4 linked regions of the Kluyveromyces lactis genome follow. The protein of the gene in region 3 purifies or fractionates together with the protein of the main gene of each other region. This does not show direct contact. Links are inferred from orthologs where the notes say so. Each region holds a gene or a part of one and is shown on either strand. Other genes may lie near its edges.

Region 1 (4,545 bases), on a different chromosome or scaffold from region 3:
ATTGTTGCGTTCCTCTCAGTTTGGTATTCTGATTTTTGATGGAAAATTTCGTTATTCAGGTCTTTCACCTGATCGTTGAGAATATTGACAGTACTCTGTAATTGATTTCTTTCGTTTTCTAGAGTGATTATTGTCTTCTGAGATTCCTTCTGGGCCTCTTCAAAGGCCTGGCTTACTTCATTAACGGATTGCACGGACTGTTCCGCCAGAGTTTTATGATGCTCTATTTGTGAATATGAATCAGAAAGTTGCAAGTTAACCTTTTCCAATTCCTGTCTCAAAGTCTCAACTAGGTTTTGAGCATCATCGACATTACTTAACATCGTATATGATTGTGCCCGTGCCTCGGCCTCCTTGAGTTTTGCGGATTGTTCATTGATAGTGGATTGCATTTTCTGAAGTTGAGCTTCTTTTTCTTCTAAGGTCGTTTTCTGTTGAGCTGCCTCACTAGTTAACTTATCAATCTTTTCTTGAAACCAATTATATTGATGCTCTTTATTGCTAGCAATTCCTGTGGTGTTTTTTTCAATTTCTTCAAGGCGTTCGAGTGAACCAGACAACTCAATTTCCAATTTTCTAAGCTTTTCCTTATAAGAATTCTGAGTTTCCTTGAGTAACATTTCTCTCTCACGTTGGAGTGTCTGAAGTTGCGCAATTAACACCTTGTATTCGACACTTTCTTTGGAAAATCTTTCGTTCTCTGCCTTCAGTTCCTTTTGAACCTTTGCCATAAACTGTTTTTCAGACTTCAAGATGGATAGTTCCGATTGTATAGATGACAAAGTGGATTTCGTTTTGATTAAGGAATCTACAGTCTCCTGTGTACGTTTGTCCTGTTTTGTTAAAATATCTTGTAGATCAGATGATCTTTTTTGTAGCTCCTCACATTGGCGTTTGGAAAGCTCTAAAGTTGATTGTAATAGATTTAACCTATCTTCTGCAAGAGTACGTGAAGTTTTCTCAGATTCGAAATTAAGTGATATTTCATATAATTTCTTACGCAGGTTGCTGTTTTCTGATGACCATTCCTTGGCATTATTCTCTGCTTCTTGAATGACAGCGGTGAGTCTTGTTTCGAGATCCTTCACTTTATCGTCATTATCAGGAGAAGGGTAAGTAATGGCCTTAGGTGTGTTTGTGCCAGAGCTAGCATTTACTGACAATGCCTTGTATGCGTCCCTCTCCTTTGATAGAATGACTAGTTGGTTTTCAAGGTTCTGTGCATGATCATGAAGTGTAAGAATGGTTTCTTTTGCCTCTCTCACCGTTTCATCCTCTAATACCTGGATTTGAGATTTGTTTTCAGCTTCCCTGCGTTCTAATTCATCAGCAAGATTGCGAATTGTAGAAAGAAGTTCGGAGTTTTTCTGCTGCAACTCAACTACTGATCTAAATTCTACTAGTCGATCGGTTATAATGCCTTGAGTGTCAGAGGTCTTTGTTATTTCTTGAGAGTTGGTTAGATTTTTGACAAATTGCAATTCTTCAGCGGATAATGGTCCGCCATCCTCTGACTTAATAGATTCGTTCACGAGTAAGTACTGTATCTGATGGGCAAGGTCAACACGTTGCTTAGATAGGGAGGCTATTTGAGTCTCATAGCTTTTCACAGTAGCTTTCAAATAATCAAGTTGTGACGACTTTTGATCACGGTCTTTGCCAGTTGACTCTAACAAAATAGTAACCTCATTTAACTCTCTTTCAAGCATTTCACTTCTCTCTTTGAAGGAATTGAGAACAGGGATTTTATGCTCTAATTCAACAACGAATGCTTCCACTTGCATTTTTAACTCGTCTTTTTGTCTTTTCTCAATAACCAGCTGTTTTTTGAGCATTCCCAAATCACCATATAACTTAGGTATGACAGAAACCGATTTTTCTGAAGACGCAGTGGTATTACCAACTTCGGAGTCTTCTAATTTTATGTTGGATGTTAATTCATCGATTGTCTCCTTAAGTTTTATGCAGTTAGATTCAGATGCGTCTAAACGATATTTGACCGCATTGAGCTCTTCAATGAGCTCGTCTCTTTCTTTTTCGGTGAAATATGATGAGTCCATGTTATTCTTTGTAGCATCCATTTCTTTCTTCAATGATTCCATATGTTTCTCTAGAGCATCAATCATTCTCTGCTTTAAAGACATCTCTTTCGTAAGCTCTTGTTTAGAGAAATTGTACTCATCTTTAATTTCTTTGTTCTCGGAAAGTTTTTGCTCCAGTTGTTCATGTAAACTGTGTACCGATTGTTTTAGTTTCTGATTACTGGTTCGAGCTATTTCCAACTCTGATTCCATATTCGATACCTTTAACTGAGAATCTTGTAATTCACTAATTGTGCTTTCTCTAAACTCATTGAGTTGTACGGTCTTGGTATTTAACTGATTGGTCAACCAGTCATTGTTTTCTCTCAATAATGTGATTTCTTGTTCCATCCTTAAAATCTCGCTTTTCGAACGTAGCTCTAAGGCCTGCTGAGTTTGTAGCTCAGTTTCAGTATTGACGACTTTTTGTCTAAGTTCCTTATTCGCTCCCTGTGCTTCATTCAATTTAGCTTTGGTAGAACTGAGTTCTTCAATTTTTTCGTTTAGTGACTCTGCAATATCTTGCTTAGAAGCGTCAGCAAGTTCTTTTTGTTGCCTCTCTACTTCTATTTCTTGTTCCAATTCTATGATTCTTTTGGTCACTTGTGAATTTCCTTCAATTAGACGCCTTTTCTCTTCTTCAAAGTGTAAGCGCTCATCCTTCCCATCTTCCAATGCCTTGGCTAGTTGAGAGATGTGAATTTTGAATGATTCTAGTTTGTTCTCTGATTGAGATTTTAATTGATCCAAGGTAGCAGTTATTCTTAGGTTTTCAGATTTTTGTTTCCGAAGATCTTCCAACTTCTCCTCAATCCTACCTAAAACATCATTATTAATGTCTTGTATCAGTTGCTGGTCGACTTGTAGAAAGTCTGCGACCCTAGAGGCAATGGGTTCTACGGACATTCTCAACTCCACAACACAACAATGGAATAGCAATCTATAAGACGCTACTTTTACCTAGTGTTCAAGCTAATCGCTATGATATTCAATTAGAAGTATACTAAAAATTTCTGCAGGTATACATGAGCATATACAATGCACATAGGCTTTGTTCTTGACAGGTAATTTTTGTTCAATTTCAATATTAGGTCCAATTCGGTGAAATTCAAAATAACGACCAGATACCACGAACTGACTGCAGAACGAAATACAGAAGTCGTATCTAAACTAACAATCAGGGTAACCGGTACCAGTAAAATTCTACGTTCCAAGTTGGGACGGTTTGCAACAACATCCGTGCACTATTCAACAGTGTGTCTGGGTGTATAAATTTCGGGGCTTGACAATTAAAAATGCATATATTCCTCAAAACGGTATTTTTATTTTCTAATTGCAGAAATCACTTCGTTTTTGCTCGTTGTCGATTCCTCAGGTTCACCAACTTTCTATGTACCAAACCCAGATTGAGGAAAGCAAGCAAGAATTCATACTCAAAGTATTTTGGATTATATCATTTAATCATACGCACTTAAGATAGCTGTACTTAGTTGTTGATTACTATCAAAAAGATCAGGAAAGGACAAGATTCAAAAATGCAAATGTATGCACAATATGATAAGCAAAAGGCATCTTATTTTGGGGTTTCTTGGTGATTCAAGACGGTTTATGCTACTTTGAAATGGGACGAAAGCACATTAGCTAAAAAACAACAAGACGAACTCGGATAACAACTAATGAAAATGACAAGGATTTACTGTGTTTGGTGTAACATATATCATGATAGTCGCTATCCTGTGAGAACTTGAGCGTTTCATTTCGGAGAGTGTGAGTACGCGGTCTAAACTGTTGAGTGAGATATATGTCACGATTTCTTCAAACGAAAGCAAGTACGCTTTGCAGAATGAATAAGGATACAAGGAAGCAGTTTAATGGGACCTATCACCTCCTAACTATCAAATGCACAACAATTCATACCTACAGAGGGAATTTTTTTTGGTTTTTTATTAAGCTTTACTAATCTAGCAAAATTAACTTGAACGTTCACTAATTCTAGGAATCGTCCCAATAAGATTGCCTTAAGAACTTTGTTCTGATCGAGTTTCAAACTTTTACTAACAAATCATATCTTTTTGAAAACAGTTTCGTCAAGACCTTGACTGGTAAGACCATCACTTTGGAAGTCGAATCTTCCGACACCATTGACAATGTCAAGTCTAAGATTCAAGACAAGGAAGGTATCCCACCAGACCAACAAAGATTGATCTTTGCTGGTAAGCAATTGGAAGATGGTAGAACCTTGTCTGACTACAACATCCAAAAGGAATCCACTTTGCACTTGGTTTTGAGATTGAGAGGTGGTATCATTGAACCATCTTTAAAGGCTTTGGCTTCTAAGTACAACTGTGAAAAGTCCGTTTGCAGAAAGTGTTACGCTAGATTGCCACCAAGAGCTACTAACTGTAGAAAGAGAAAGTGTGGTCACACCAACCAATTGCGTCCAAAGAAGAAGTTAAAATAGTCG
Region 2 (4,611 bases), on a different chromosome or scaffold from region 3:
GTCTCCTTGTTCATTTTAATCATGTTCTTTGTCTTTTCAAAAACGCTTGCATGCTGAGATAGATCAAATTTGACTGTCTGTATTGTGCTTAATAAACTATGCCTCTCTTTCAAAACTTTAGCAGCCTTTCTCTTGTCTTCGTAAATGATTTTCTGCTTCGTGTACAAATCTTCTTCTAATCTAATATCATATAAGGATAACCGCCAGAAATCAATGAATAGACGTTTATCAATATTTTCAAAATTGATGCCTTTGAAATCAGTCTCATATAGAATTTCGTTGATTTCATCAGCATCATTTTCAGATCTCGCCAGCTTTGTATCGAAATAATGCCTCCAGATATCAAACGCCCACTCAACAGGAAATTGATATTTCTCAATTAAAACGTTGAAAGGTAGAATATTGGCTTTGAATTGTTCTTCAGTCAAAATGTGCTTTAACATTTCAATAAATGACCAAAGTAATGCATTGGATTCATCGCATTTCGCTGATAAGATTTTATAATGAACGTTATTATCGGTTTGAATCTTAAGATTCAAATTTGTGAGCATGATAATCATTTCTGACACTGCATTAAGCTCTAACAAGTAATTGACAATAGTTTTTGAAGGTTGATAATACTTATCTCTGAAATCCAAGATAAGATTTCTACCGATTTGTTTTAAAAAGGATCCTGAGCTTATCATTAGCAAAGTGTTCCAATTTACATCATACAACGTTTGTATTCCTGCAACTTGGGAGATTAACTCCTTCAAAATAGCCAGGGTAAGCGATGGATCCTTGTAAAGATTTTTGACCAAAAACACGAATATGTTGGACATACTCATTTTAGAACAGCCTTTAGCAAGACCCGCAATGAACAAAGATAATCTGCTAATCCACATTTTGGGAGTAATACCATCATCTTGTAAAGTTGGCCTTTCCGATGTGAGCTTAATTAATAACGTATACTGTAAAACATCGTAAGCGAATTCTGAGAAAAATTCGGCACTTATGACGATTAGTTCAGAGACTTTATCATAATTTTCTATTTGTTTTAGGATAGAGTCTAGAGTTGAAAGAGGATTGCAGGACACGAAGTTAGCAACATCCCTGCACTTAAATGCAATGTTGTCAATACTCAAAGATTTTAAAAGTGACCTTATCCGCTTTTGGTACTTATTAAATTGTAACCTGACATGTATGTTGTCTTCAGCAATCTTTGTACTTAATTCATGGTACATGAAGTATCTTCTTTCGAATGGGAAGTGCTTCATAACCGAATAAATTGCATTTGCAACAAACTGCTCATCTTCGACTAGTCCTAATACTGGTAGCATAAACTTTCTGCAGTAATTAATCCATAAATCCATAACCGTTTCATCTTCTAGGTTATCTAGAATATTTTTTTCAGCTATGGCGCATATATGTTCAACAAGTTTAGCATTAAGAATAATACGTGGACCGATGCTTTCAAATATTAGATGTGAATAATGAACGAGATTCTCTATCGTTTCAATTGGAGTCAAATTCTGTCGCCAGTCTTTATTGTAAAATACAAATTCTGTCCCTTGAATGTATTTGTAGTCTTTCCCCAAAGACCTATATTGCCTGATCAACCGATCTTGTTTAGTAGGAATTCCATTGTGAGATAACTTCAAAAGAGGTCGACAATGTTCTGAAATAGCTGAAGGGCTCAACTTTACAGTCAAGGGTTCGATCATGTTGTCAAACACCTCGAGAAGAGATTTCACGAGACTATCGTTCACGGCAAAGAACCGAGGATATTTGAATAGAGCATACAATCCTGGAACAAAGTGCCCATTGACAAGTAACCTCTCTACTAGTTTCCATTTTGGTGATTTTTCAACAGTTTCTCGAAGTAGTGCTTCTTTTTCCTTCTCCGATATCCCAGTATCTGCCGCTGTATTGGTTTTATCACCTTCCGTATTTTTCGAAATGGTATTGTCTTCGTCAGTAAGGACGGAGGCCATAGCTAACGGATTAAGAGATCCCTCCAAGGATTCCTTTTCCAATGTCGTCAGCTTCCTCTCTACAAACTCATCAATGTCAGTATCGTACGGGGTCAGGCAATCGAATATAGCAGCAAAAGAGACAAACCCGCCTTTAATTAGATGAACCACTAAATCGATGTAATTTGCATCTGGTTTACCATTATTAAGGTAATTTACTATCAACCTGGTAGCTATCGGATTACCACCTTGGTTCAATTGTTCATACCGTGAGCAGTTGGCCAAATTCGAAGATGGCCAGTAGTCTGTAGATTGCAAAAGCTCAAGAATAAACTCAAAATGGTGTACGACATGATATGAAGACACTTGTAATAGTATATCCATGCACCTGATTGGGTCTAGCTTATATTTCCCCATAATATATTTCAACTGTTTACTGTAATATTGAACAGATTGGAATTTGTCAACATCTTCAAAAGCGATATTCAACAACGTTATCAGTTGACTGAAACCAGTAGAGCATTCTAGGAATAAATTTGGTTTTTGCAAAAGGAAGAACTCGGGAACGATGCTCTTTTTGAATGCGGACCAAAAATCTTTGGACCATCTTTCTGTACCCTTTGAAAGAATTTGGTCGTTCAAATAAATACACACCTCTAACTGAAGATCCTTGGCACACCCAACTAAATCATTAAACCCATTGTTCGCCTCCCAAGGGTATGAATTCGCTAACGAAACAAATAGCTCGAAGTTATATCTATCCTCGTTGCATAACGCACTAACTATTTTGCTGATAGCATCCAAATTTAAAAACTCCGATTCATCAGATTTCCCATTGATTAAGGAAAAAGCTTCCAGAAACAAATCATACACATAATCAGATTTCTGAGAACTGGCATCTAAGGAAAGGTACTGTGATATGATTGTTTCTACACCACGACTTGGTTCATCGAAAAACGTCTTGTCAAAATAAGTAACTTGTTCATCATTTGGAAGATTGGAAGCCAAATTATTCAAACAGTCGTACAATGCCATGATGAAAACAATTTACCGTGTGCCTAATTCAATTGGCAAATGCAAATACCCCTATTGCTCTTCCGTCACCAGGACGCTACAATCATGAGGTTGATGTTGCGCAATGTATGTGTTATATCTTTCACAGATTTTTAACATATTCAAATTCGATATTTGAAAAATGTCGGCATGGTGAGAATGGTAACTTGAATAGAGTTGATATCTCAAACAGGGATGAAAAGAGTCACAGCAGTCAGTATACTAGGTATTTGACTAAGTTAATGGTATCAGTGAGAACAATAGGAAGTTATAAACAATGGTATGTACTTTTTTTTTCCAATTTATGTGTAATATCCTATGCTGACCAATGATACTAACTACTGACTTAACTGCAGAGTAACAAAGTGAAAGAGGAACTGATATATGAAGATATGCGGAAGAAACATCCAGGGGTAGGGAGTGCTAGAACAACAAAGGAAGAGTGGTCTAATACGATAAGCAAGGACACATATGCCAGCTTGGCTATTCATCAGAACCTTTTAGAGTATTACACATTGGCGTCAGGATTCCCTTCCAAACGGGATGCCCAACTAACACTGTTACGAAAACTTGCAAACCCGCCAAAACCAATCAAAAGGGATATTGGAAACGATTAATGATTATTATAGATATTACACAAGTGTATTTGCAATATTTTTGTTGTTGGTACATGCGGTATTTAACGTGTATTTTATGTTAGGTGTATCGAAGTTAAAAAGCTATCGAAAACGCTTTCAGAGATTGTAATATATTTAATTAAAGTTCTGGCTGCGAAGAAATCTCTGTTAAGATTCTTCTGCCATCAATTTCGGCCTGGTTGAACCTCTTGTGTAACGTTTCTAAATCCATGTTGGAAGCAAACACCTCAGCGTGGGCTGAACCAGTAGGAAGATCGATAACTTTCAAGTCTGTAACTTTGCAGTTGCCCATCTGTTGTAACACTCTTTGTAAATTAGAAGGGTTCGTTCCTATCGGCAAATTTCGTATCTTTAAACATTTCAAACTCTCTTTCAATGAAATAACCAACTTCTTATTATTACTGTTATCACTATTGTTTCGTTGCTTAGATCTAGCTCTATTCTTCAAATTATGAAGCAAATTGACACGTTTGTTCGATTGAATTTGTTGCTTATTCTTATCTGAGCTGGCTTTCATTTTATTGCCCTGCAAATCAGCAGCTAACACAAGTTTACCACCAAGAAATGTCAATCCAGTCTTTGCTTTGGCCTTTTCTGCCTTTGCTTTCTCTGCCCTTTCCAAAGTCTGCTTCTTCTGTAATACGGGATTTTGGCCACTAGAATTTCCAACACGCCCAAACAACGAGTTAGAACCTTTCCCTACACCTTTTCCTCCCCCATTCCTGGACTTCGAATTACCATTCCGATGCTGCGATGCCATATTTACAATAAAGGACACACAACAGAATTCTCCTTTGCTATCTTAACCAGAAAAAGTAAGACCGTACTAATTTCCTGAATCGTAAGAAAAATGAAACAGAGTACCACAGTCGTATAGTAACCTGATGTTTCCTTTCGTAACATAAGTTAACATCTTAACCTACCATTCCAGAGTTTTTCGTCAACTTTGTTCTCAATGGTCACTTTTA
Region 3 (4,302 bases):
ATTACGCAAACCCTGCTCTGGTGAAACCAGGGTTCCCCATGAAGAAAGAAGAAGAAACCACGGAAATAAAAAGGAAAAGTGAATTTGAAGGGGCCGGTTTATCCTACAATACAAGAAAGCGTGGTGATAGATTAGGGTTCTTGGATAGAAGAAGTAACGAATGATTAATAAGCAAGATTTTAATTCTGCAAGGCAATACACGAACCTACCCATCACACTTATTTATTAACAACACACACAAACACTGCAATGACTAAATGAAACAATCTAGAAATATATCCTGTTCTTTACTGAAAGATTCCTCATGTAAATAGTGCTTAAAGAAAGTGAAATAAAATACAAACTATTGATATCAATATTATAATAAAGTTTAGCTAGGTAAGAAAAGATAGGCCGAGCACATAAGAAAGATACGGATTTTTTTGATTGAGAAACCACGCAGTCACACCGGTTGAAATTGAGGAATATAAAACAAACAACAAATGAACTGAACTTCTAGGATGTCTAACGAATAGATTCGAAAGCAGAGACAATCCGTTCGTTATTAAGGAAGACTTTATAATTTCTCAGTCCAGTAATTTCAAGAACGCAATATCTTATTTGGATTCTTCAAAATAGTCAGCCATTTCCTTGTCTAAGTCTTCCAAAGACTTCTTTTCTGGCTTAGCTCTTTTCTTTTGCTTAGCAGCAATGGCTTTCTTGTTTGGACCGGCTGGTTTCTTCTTAGGTTGAGGCTTTGTTGGAGCTGCCTTCTTGTTTGGCGCGGCAGCCTGAGCATTCTGTACAGGGCGGATTCTGTCCAATAATGTCTTTCTGCTTGGATCGACAATCAACGTCAATCTCAATTTGGATTTACCACCATCAATTGGTGCGTTGTGGAATTTCTTTACAGCTAAGTTAGCTTGTTCTGCGTTCTTAAAGGTAATAGTGGCCATACCAGTGGAGTTACCCCTTTCGTTGTAACTCAACAAAGCTTTTTGGACACCACCGACTTGATGGTTGAAAAATTCCTAGTAATAATAAGGGAGCAAAATTTTTGTTAGTGAAACTATTCATAGATAACTGAAAACAGCGGAGTCTTCAATGAATAGTCCTGTAGGAAATCATTCATGTTTACAATTCATCATACATGTACGACCCGGTCAATTCTGTCACGATATGAAGTTAACTCTTAAACAGTAAAATATACCACAAATGGGTTTCATTAGGTTTCGATTTGAAGGTAGGATCTAACATGACAACCAACAAAAAGTAAGTATACTATAACTTTTCTCTTTTCTATTTTTTTTCTTGGAGAGTAAATCTGGAGTCAGTGATGAGATCTCAACCAGACAAGATAGAACATGTTCATAGCAGAATGACAAATGAAAATCGATTTCAAATCCAGCATACCCATCTCGATTTATTACATTCATTGAAACTTGCTTTTCAGTGGCGTTTCAATTTTTGCCAATTTTTTTGAAGTTGTCAAACACGACGACCTTGCTAAAAATGTCGCACTATCTTGAAGATTGAGGCATCAAGCTAAACACACACCAAGGAAGAGGTCAAACTTAATTGTTCCTACAAGGTGTACACCAAGTAATCTTCTTCAAATTCCCAGTTCTTTGCAAAGAGTTAGAAAAAAGAGAATAATACACTGGGCATCATTAAAAAATAGATGCATTGCCAAATGTAATAAATGGTAACAGAAACTCCAGTGACACATAATGTCACAAGAATAGAAGATATGACGAGAAAAAATAGATATACTTCATCTTTTCGGCATTTCCCAATCGTGATTCACTACCGTTTCTCCATCAAATAAAATGTCGTAAATAAACGAAGTTCAGTGCATAATTTTGATGAAAAGTTCTGTCAACTTAGAGGAGAAAAACGGAAAGAAATCACAAAGGAAGGCTTGCTGAAAAGCGAAACCCAGCCAATTGGATAGCTAATTTCGTTTTGTTATATTTCATTAGCTCAATAAAAACTAACTCTGAAATAAATTATTCACACATCAATATCAGACCTCAAAAAAGGTATCGATCGACCGTTTCTTCTTAATCAAATACACGGGAATGTATGATCGTATAGTAAACATAAGGATGGAATTCCACAGGATATATCCGTTGTAAACTTAAATTAACCGCAAGTCTTATTGCAGTTTGATCCGATTTGTTTTCGCAATCAGTACAGTAGCATCTCGACAGTCCTTTTCATTAGAAAAGAACCTACTAAGAGGCCATGGCTAAAATGGGACATACTTTAACAGCGTCTTGGTTAATGTCTCTTGGCAAACCCTCGACATTAACTCTAGTAGAAATAGGAGCTCTTAGCAAAGCTGGCACTAGGGCAGCAGCAGAAGCAGCCTTCTTTGGAACTCTAGAAGGACCGGCACCTGTTCTGGTACGGCTCTTGTTGACTTGCTTAGAAACCTTCTTTGGCCCGGCCTTGTTGTTTCTTCTGGCATGCTTGGCTGAGCCAATAATTTCATCTAATGATTGATCTAGAGCAGACATTGCTTATGAGAGTGTAAAAAAAAGAATCTGATGGGTAGCTGATTCGAAGGAAATAACTTATAAAGTTGCTTGCCTTATGAAGTAGAAACAAAGAGAAATTTGAAGAACAACTTTCATGGAAAAAGGGAAAAAAATTCCAATGGGCAAAAATCTATGGCTCCTTTTATACAAAAAAAATCAAATATCAAACTTTTTGTCCAATTCTTTTCAAGAAAATCAAAACCAGCACGATCAACAAAAGAGGGTAACGATTGTCATTTTCTAAGATCTGCTGCATATGTAACGGTGTACTTACTTCATTCCTGACATGATAAAGATTTTTGTGAATAACAGTCATTTCAAAGACTAAAGATAATGCTCCATAATTTCGTCGAGGGGACTCATTTGTTTCCAACAAACATCGTTTAGCTTTATTTCGTGAATTGTAAGGCCGCAACAACTGAAAAGTAAAATCCGTTGATATATAAGATAGACAGCTATTCGATCAATCTTATGTTCAAATGGATCGCTTCCGCAGATAGACCCAAGTAGGCTGTGGCGGGAATCTTACAACGCTTAGTATCCAAACATTCTTCTATGCCTTCCTGTCATAAGCGAATAGAAGCCGAATTGAATCCATTTACAGTCCGGGTAATTTCATGATTATTTCACTGTTAGCGATATTATTTGGTTCATTTTATTTGATCGGTTCAAAAAGAAAGACGATGATGGGTCAAAATCGTGCTATTTTACAGCGAAATGATACAGACGTCTCACTGGCAAGTTAAATCTCCGAACGACGGTCAGGTGGTAAACGGACTGACTCTGTAATTAAAGAGGAAAGACCGCGCGTTCACCAGTTATGAAACACTCTTCCAAGGTAAAAACAGGATTGAACTTTCACCTACGACAATCTCAAAATGAACACACACACTCTAACCCCAATGTTCAATTTATAATAGCGGCAGAATTTGATAACAAATCTGGGCCGATAATAAAGCATCAATATCCAAAGACAATCCCTGGTTTTAAAACTATTGGGAGTGATTCCACTTGTTCTCATTTGGCCAGTTTGATGATACCGAATAGTGTGGAGAACCATCCAGGTAAACCAGATTTCACTGTTTTTGTCTTATACAAGAATCAAAACGTTTACCAGTTGTTTCCTGTATCCAAAAATAAGACTAAAGGTACTGACTTGGATTCCTCACTGATAATTGAAGAGGAAGACTTTGAAGAAGAACAAGAAAATGGACTGCGAAGTGGTAAGATTGGATCAATTAGAGATGATAGGCATTTAGAGGAAACTGAGCCACCATTATTTTTCTTAAGTGTCGTGAACACGTTTTTAGATAATTCAAATGATCGCGGTGCTTATATAAAAGCCATTGCACTGGGTACTACTATGACAAACTTTTACACATTTAAACCATTGTTAACAATGGTGCTTGATCACTACATGACATCGAATAACAACGATATTAAAATACTTATAGACTGTTTTGACATGATTAACAGTCTTGATCTCTCTTTGGTCATAAGATTCCATTCCAATGTTGTACTACAAAATATTCTAAACTCTATCAATGACGAAGAAATTACATCCAAAATATTTGATGCAAACGAAAACTCTTTGCCCAATATACTTAGGGTTAATGAGCTGCCCAAAAAAGACAAGTTCGGAAATGAGATTCAATTTAAAAACAGGATTCTTGAATATAAGTTCTCTACTTTCCGTCCCAAAGTTCTACCTGCTTATTTTACGAGGATTCCTTTGCAAATTGATCTAATAAAATATGATGCCATAAAAATAGATACGAAT
Region 4 (4,006 bases), on a different chromosome or scaffold from region 3:
AGAAACAAATGTGGATCACTTAGTTCCACCAGAATCAACCATAAAATTACCGACGGAAACGACCAATAGCCAAGATGAACCTGCACCATTATTAGATGATTTAGAGTTCAGTTTCTTCCACATGTCATTTGACAATACCAATAACACTTCCACTAGAGAGTCTACTATGGATACTGGCGATGTTTTTGAAAATAAAAATGTTCTACCTCGGAAGGTAGCAGAGCCTGTATTCTACAAATTCGACAATTTCACCAAATCCAACGAATCCTTTTTTTCAGCTCACGATAAAGTACACCCAACAGCAGTTGAAAACGACGATGAGCCAATCTGGGTTTCTCCAAGCAAATTGGATATGTTTGACATCAGTAATAAATCAGACACATTTTTCAAGAGTTTACAACCACCAGCTTCAAAAAAAGCTGCTCCTAAGGCTGCTGCTTTCGGTGCTTTGACCGACGAAAACAACGGCAAACATGATGAACCCTCTTTCCTAAGAGATTCTTCCTATGACTACTTAGGTGGCGTTTTAGCAGAAGATGATGAAACAAAACCAACGCGATTGCAGTTCAGCGCTTAGTCCCTATGGAGAAAACGTAGAAGTTTGAATAGGTTATTAATTAGTGATATTACCTCAAGTAATGCCCGCTAGATATCAAAATATAAAACATGATTATTTAGAAGTTAGAATTAGAATCTGGCATAAGTCACCTTTAACTCATGATCTCCATAGGAGTATTTGTCCAATTTGCTGATACATATATCTGCGTCCTCTGGTGTTTCAAATTGACAATATGAGTTCCTTGTGAAATGACCTTCAGGATTCAACAGTAATTTCGTTATTATAACCGGTGCAACACTGCCAAATAGGTCATATAAATCAGATTCAGTGGTAGAAGATGGCATATTTTCGCAGAAGATTACAGAGTTTCTATCACCACCCGTAGTTATAGCCAGAGGATCGATATCTAGTGGTTTTGGTTTAAGAGTTGCTGGTGGTTCATTACGTGGTTGACGAGGGATGTAAGTATCGGCACCAGTGGCTGCAGTACGTGTAGAAGTTCCTTTACCTTCTTTAACATCTAATACACGGCCCTTATACTCTGTACCAGTCCAATGACGAATAGCATCATTTTGTTGTTCTTTGGTAGCCATATAGACCGTACCAAAACCTCTTGACTTACCGTCACGATCAGTGACAACATCAGCATGCAAAACATCACCGCACGGTTTGAACATATCTTTTAATTCTTGCCAATTAACAGAGAATGGTAGCTGTGCCACGAAAACTTCGAAACCTTCATCGTGAGCACGTTTTGGAGGAGGCGGTGGGCCGTTATTATTTCCAGTTCTCGAGATTTCAGCAGGAGGTGGATTATCTTGCCTGACAAAAATGGCACGTCCGTTCAAAAAGGCACCATCACAATCTCTAATGGCCGTATCGACGTCAGTACTGTTATTGAATTCCACAGTACCCATGCCCCTGTGATGACCTCTAGAAGTAATAATATCTGCTCTGCGAACTTCACCGATCTTACCAAAATATTCCTTCAAATCCTCTGGTGTAGTATTATATGTAAGGTTACCGATGAAGATACTGTTGGCATAGTTTCTGTTTACTTTTTCATCATATGGAGAATCGAGCTCTCTCGCTAATTTCGGTCCATAGTCTCCTTTAGCGGCGGCAGCAGCAGCAGTAGCAGCTCCTCCTCGATCATATCTCGAGGATCTACCACGGCCATATCTACCACTGTTATAACCTTGATTCTCGTACCCATTGTCCCTTCCAACAGAACGGTATCCACGATTTACAGATCTTCCACCCGAATATCTGTCTCCGTCCCTATCTCTTGAATAAGTGTCCCTGTTATATCCTTCAGATCTTCTGTTATCTCCGCTGTAGTTTCCTCTTCTATCATCCCTATAGCTACGATCAGGATAACCGCCTCTGCGTGGATCTTCGTTTCCTGATCTTGCTACAGGTGATCTAGATCTCGATCTCTCTCTTGACTATATTAATAAAGGCCAGAAAAAAGTAATTAATGGCAACTCATATAGTAACCAGTTAGTATCACATGTTAACGCTTGAAGCAGAAGCCTAGAAATGAACTAATCTTTAGATTTGCAGCAAAGATGTATTACAGCCAATGACTAGTATGTTTCCTGCGCAGTAGTTTTCCTTAGGTATACTGGAAACTAAAAGCACTTATAATAGCGACACCTGCCACAATCTTAGCCAAAAAACAAGCAGAATTAAACCATCGCATACCCAGTGTCAATAGATGCATAATATCAATAAACCTTACCAGCTTGGATATCTGTTCTTTGATAATTCATTGAGCAACAACTGTCGGTGATAATACTATAGATATGGTATGATCATTGTGTAGCAGTCTAAACAGCCATTTCACACCAATTCCTTTTCAAAAATACAACATACGTATGAACTCATATTTAACTACCAGCCACAACCGTCTAGCAGCAGTCTTGAAATTATTTCACGACGTTTAGCAATGTCATAACGAAGTTCTTTTCAGTGCTGAATGTTTTCACAGATTTAATTCCTTCTGAATTTTTTTCGAGGTTTAGATGTGTTAATGAATAAAAAGAGACGTGCATGATATAAAGAATGCCGCATGTCATGTGACTCAATGCAAGTTAAAGCGTGGCAAGAAGGGAGAGTATAAGACCTGTAAAAGGGCATATTACGTCCAGGTGGTTGGTGTTGGTATAATATAATATATTATTGAGATGGCAGACACTACTCCGGACACTGCAGTCTCTAATGTGACCGAACCTGCCAAGAAGAAGAGGAAGTATTCCAAAAATGGATGCCTTGAATGTAAGAGAAAGAAGGTTAAATGTGATGAGACGAAGCCTATGTGTTGGCAGTGCACGCATTTGTCTCTTGAATGTGTTTATAAGACCAAAGAGTTTCAATTTGTTGTTTCTGGGGGACCCAATAAATCTCGAGTAAACTCTAAAGTGACCTCAGTCTCGGATAAAAAGAGAAAGAATAAGGAAGATGGCGATCTGCATAGGAAAAACATGGAACATCATTCATCATCTGATACTAGAAAACTCTCGAACAATGAACGTGACGTGGATTTTGAGCATGCTGCAACCAATGCGATTGGTAATGACGAAGATGATTTGAATGCGCTATTGAACGATGCGCTTCTCTTTGCTAATGATTTATTCTCCAAGCTGCCCGAAACAGACGCCGTGACCGCAAACCAAGGCCAACAGAAAAGTATCAGTTCTATCAATGATGACATAGGCGGGCCCGTGTTCAACAGATGGGAAGAGATCGAAGGAATGTTAGGAGAGGTATCAAAATCGGAATTATCATATTTGAAGATATTTTATGACAATGTATCATACTGGTTGATGCCGCTAGCACAATCACCGGATTCTAACATTTGTAACCATATCTTATTCCAGCACGTAATAAGAGCAAATAAAAAACACGCCCGAGAAAAGTCTTACTTACAGAGTTCGATGGTGTCAATCAGTGCTAAATATGTCTACAATGTTTACGGGAAAGAGCATGATAATATAATTAGGAAACATTTCTTGAGAAAAGCACTACAGCAATTGTACCAAGAATTCGAATCTCTATCCCAAGAATCATTGGGGTTTTCACAGATAGACTCTTTGAATTTATGTGTGCTATTGTTGACATTGGATAGTTCAACGTTTGGAACTCAAGAATGGAAATTCCATCTACGAGGAGCTAAGGATCTACTTATGAAATACAACGACAACAGAGAAATGGTGACTGGAAGCACTGGGAGCACACTTTTGCATAGGAGGACTGTAACACTAGCACGTAACTGGTTTTGTGCCATTGCTATAGTTGCTTGTGTAGCGAAAGGTAACCATTTTTTCAATGAAGCAGAAATGGAGGAGATGTTAGATATTGGATCCAGTGATTCATCCATGAGCGACAATCTCATGAAGCAGATGGGATTCATATCAGGGAATAATTATAACACATTTCTTGGGT

The links.
Region 1: the proteins of YRA1 (region 3) and MLP2 purify together in Saccharomyces cerevisiae (affinity purification with mass spectrometry; 3 studies listed by BioGRID, with this or other methods). This does not show direct contact. The link is inferred for Kluyveromyces lactis from reciprocal best matches to the Saccharomyces cerevisiae genes YRA1 and MLP1.
Region 2: the proteins of YRA1 (region 3) and THO2 purify together in Saccharomyces cerevisiae (affinity purification with mass spectrometry; 4 studies listed by BioGRID, with this or other methods). This does not show direct contact. The link is inferred for Kluyveromyces lactis from reciprocal best matches to the Saccharomyces cerevisiae genes YRA1 and THO2.
Region 4: the proteins of YRA1 (region 3) and KLLA0_D05016g purify together in Saccharomyces cerevisiae (affinity purification with mass spectrometry; 3 studies listed by BioGRID, with this or other methods). This does not show direct contact. The link is inferred for Kluyveromyces lactis from reciprocal best matches to the Saccharomyces cerevisiae genes YRA1 and HRB1.

Annotation. Positions count from the first base shown.
Region 1 is NC_006037.1:55,564-60,108, forward strand, and holds the start of MLP2 (Mlp2p), read right to left. Parts: upstream 2,988-4,545; coding exon 1-2,987. Other genes in the region: RPL40A (ubiquitin-60S ribosomal protein L40 fusion protein), read left to right, coding at 3,617-3,624, 4,164-4,542. UniProt on the Saccharomyces cerevisiae protein: Together with the closely related MLP2, involved in the structural and functional organization of perinuclear chromatin. Together with MLP2, associates with the nuclear pore complex and form filamentous structures along the nuclear periphery.
Region 2 is NC_006037.1:1,000,494-1,005,104, forward strand, and holds the start of THO2 (Tho2p), read right to left. Parts: upstream 2,988-4,611; coding exon 1-2,987. Other genes in the region: U2 snRNP complex subunit YSF3, read left to right, coding at 3,283-3,285, 3,362-3,622; KLLA0_A11616g (uncharacterized protein), read right to left, coding at 3,762-4,403. UniProt on the Saccharomyces cerevisiae protein: Component the THO subcomplex of the TREX complex, which operates in coupling transcription elongation to mRNA export. The THO complex is recruited to transcribed genes and moves along the gene with the elongating polymerase during transcription.
Region 3 is NC_006041.1:255,158-259,459, reverse strand, and holds YRA1 (RNA-binding protein YRA1), read right to left. Parts: upstream 2,502-4,302; coding exon 2,247-2,501; intron 1,011-2,246; coding exon 597-1,010; downstream 1-596. Other genes in the region: COI1 (Coi1p), read left to right, coding at 1-164; AFI1 (Afi1p), read left to right, coding at 3,343-4,302. UniProt on the Saccharomyces cerevisiae protein: RNA-binding RNA annealing protein. May have a role in pre-mRNA metabolism. Component the TREX complex, which operates in coupling transcription elongation to mRNA export.
Region 4 is NC_006040.1:430,905-434,910, forward strand, and holds KLLA0_D05016g (uncharacterized protein), read right to left. Parts: upstream 2,450-4,006; coding exon 2,438-2,449; intron 2,008-2,437; coding exon 688-2,007; downstream 1-687. Other genes in the region: BUD3 (Bud3p), read left to right, coding at 1-577; KLLA0_D05038g (Zn(II)2Cys6 transcription factor), read left to right, coding at 2,749-4,006. UniProt on the Saccharomyces cerevisiae protein: Binds to intron-containing transcripts and is involved in quality control for the export of spliced mRNAs from the nucleus. Binds to pre-mRNAs until splicing is completed or until faulty mRNAs are degraded.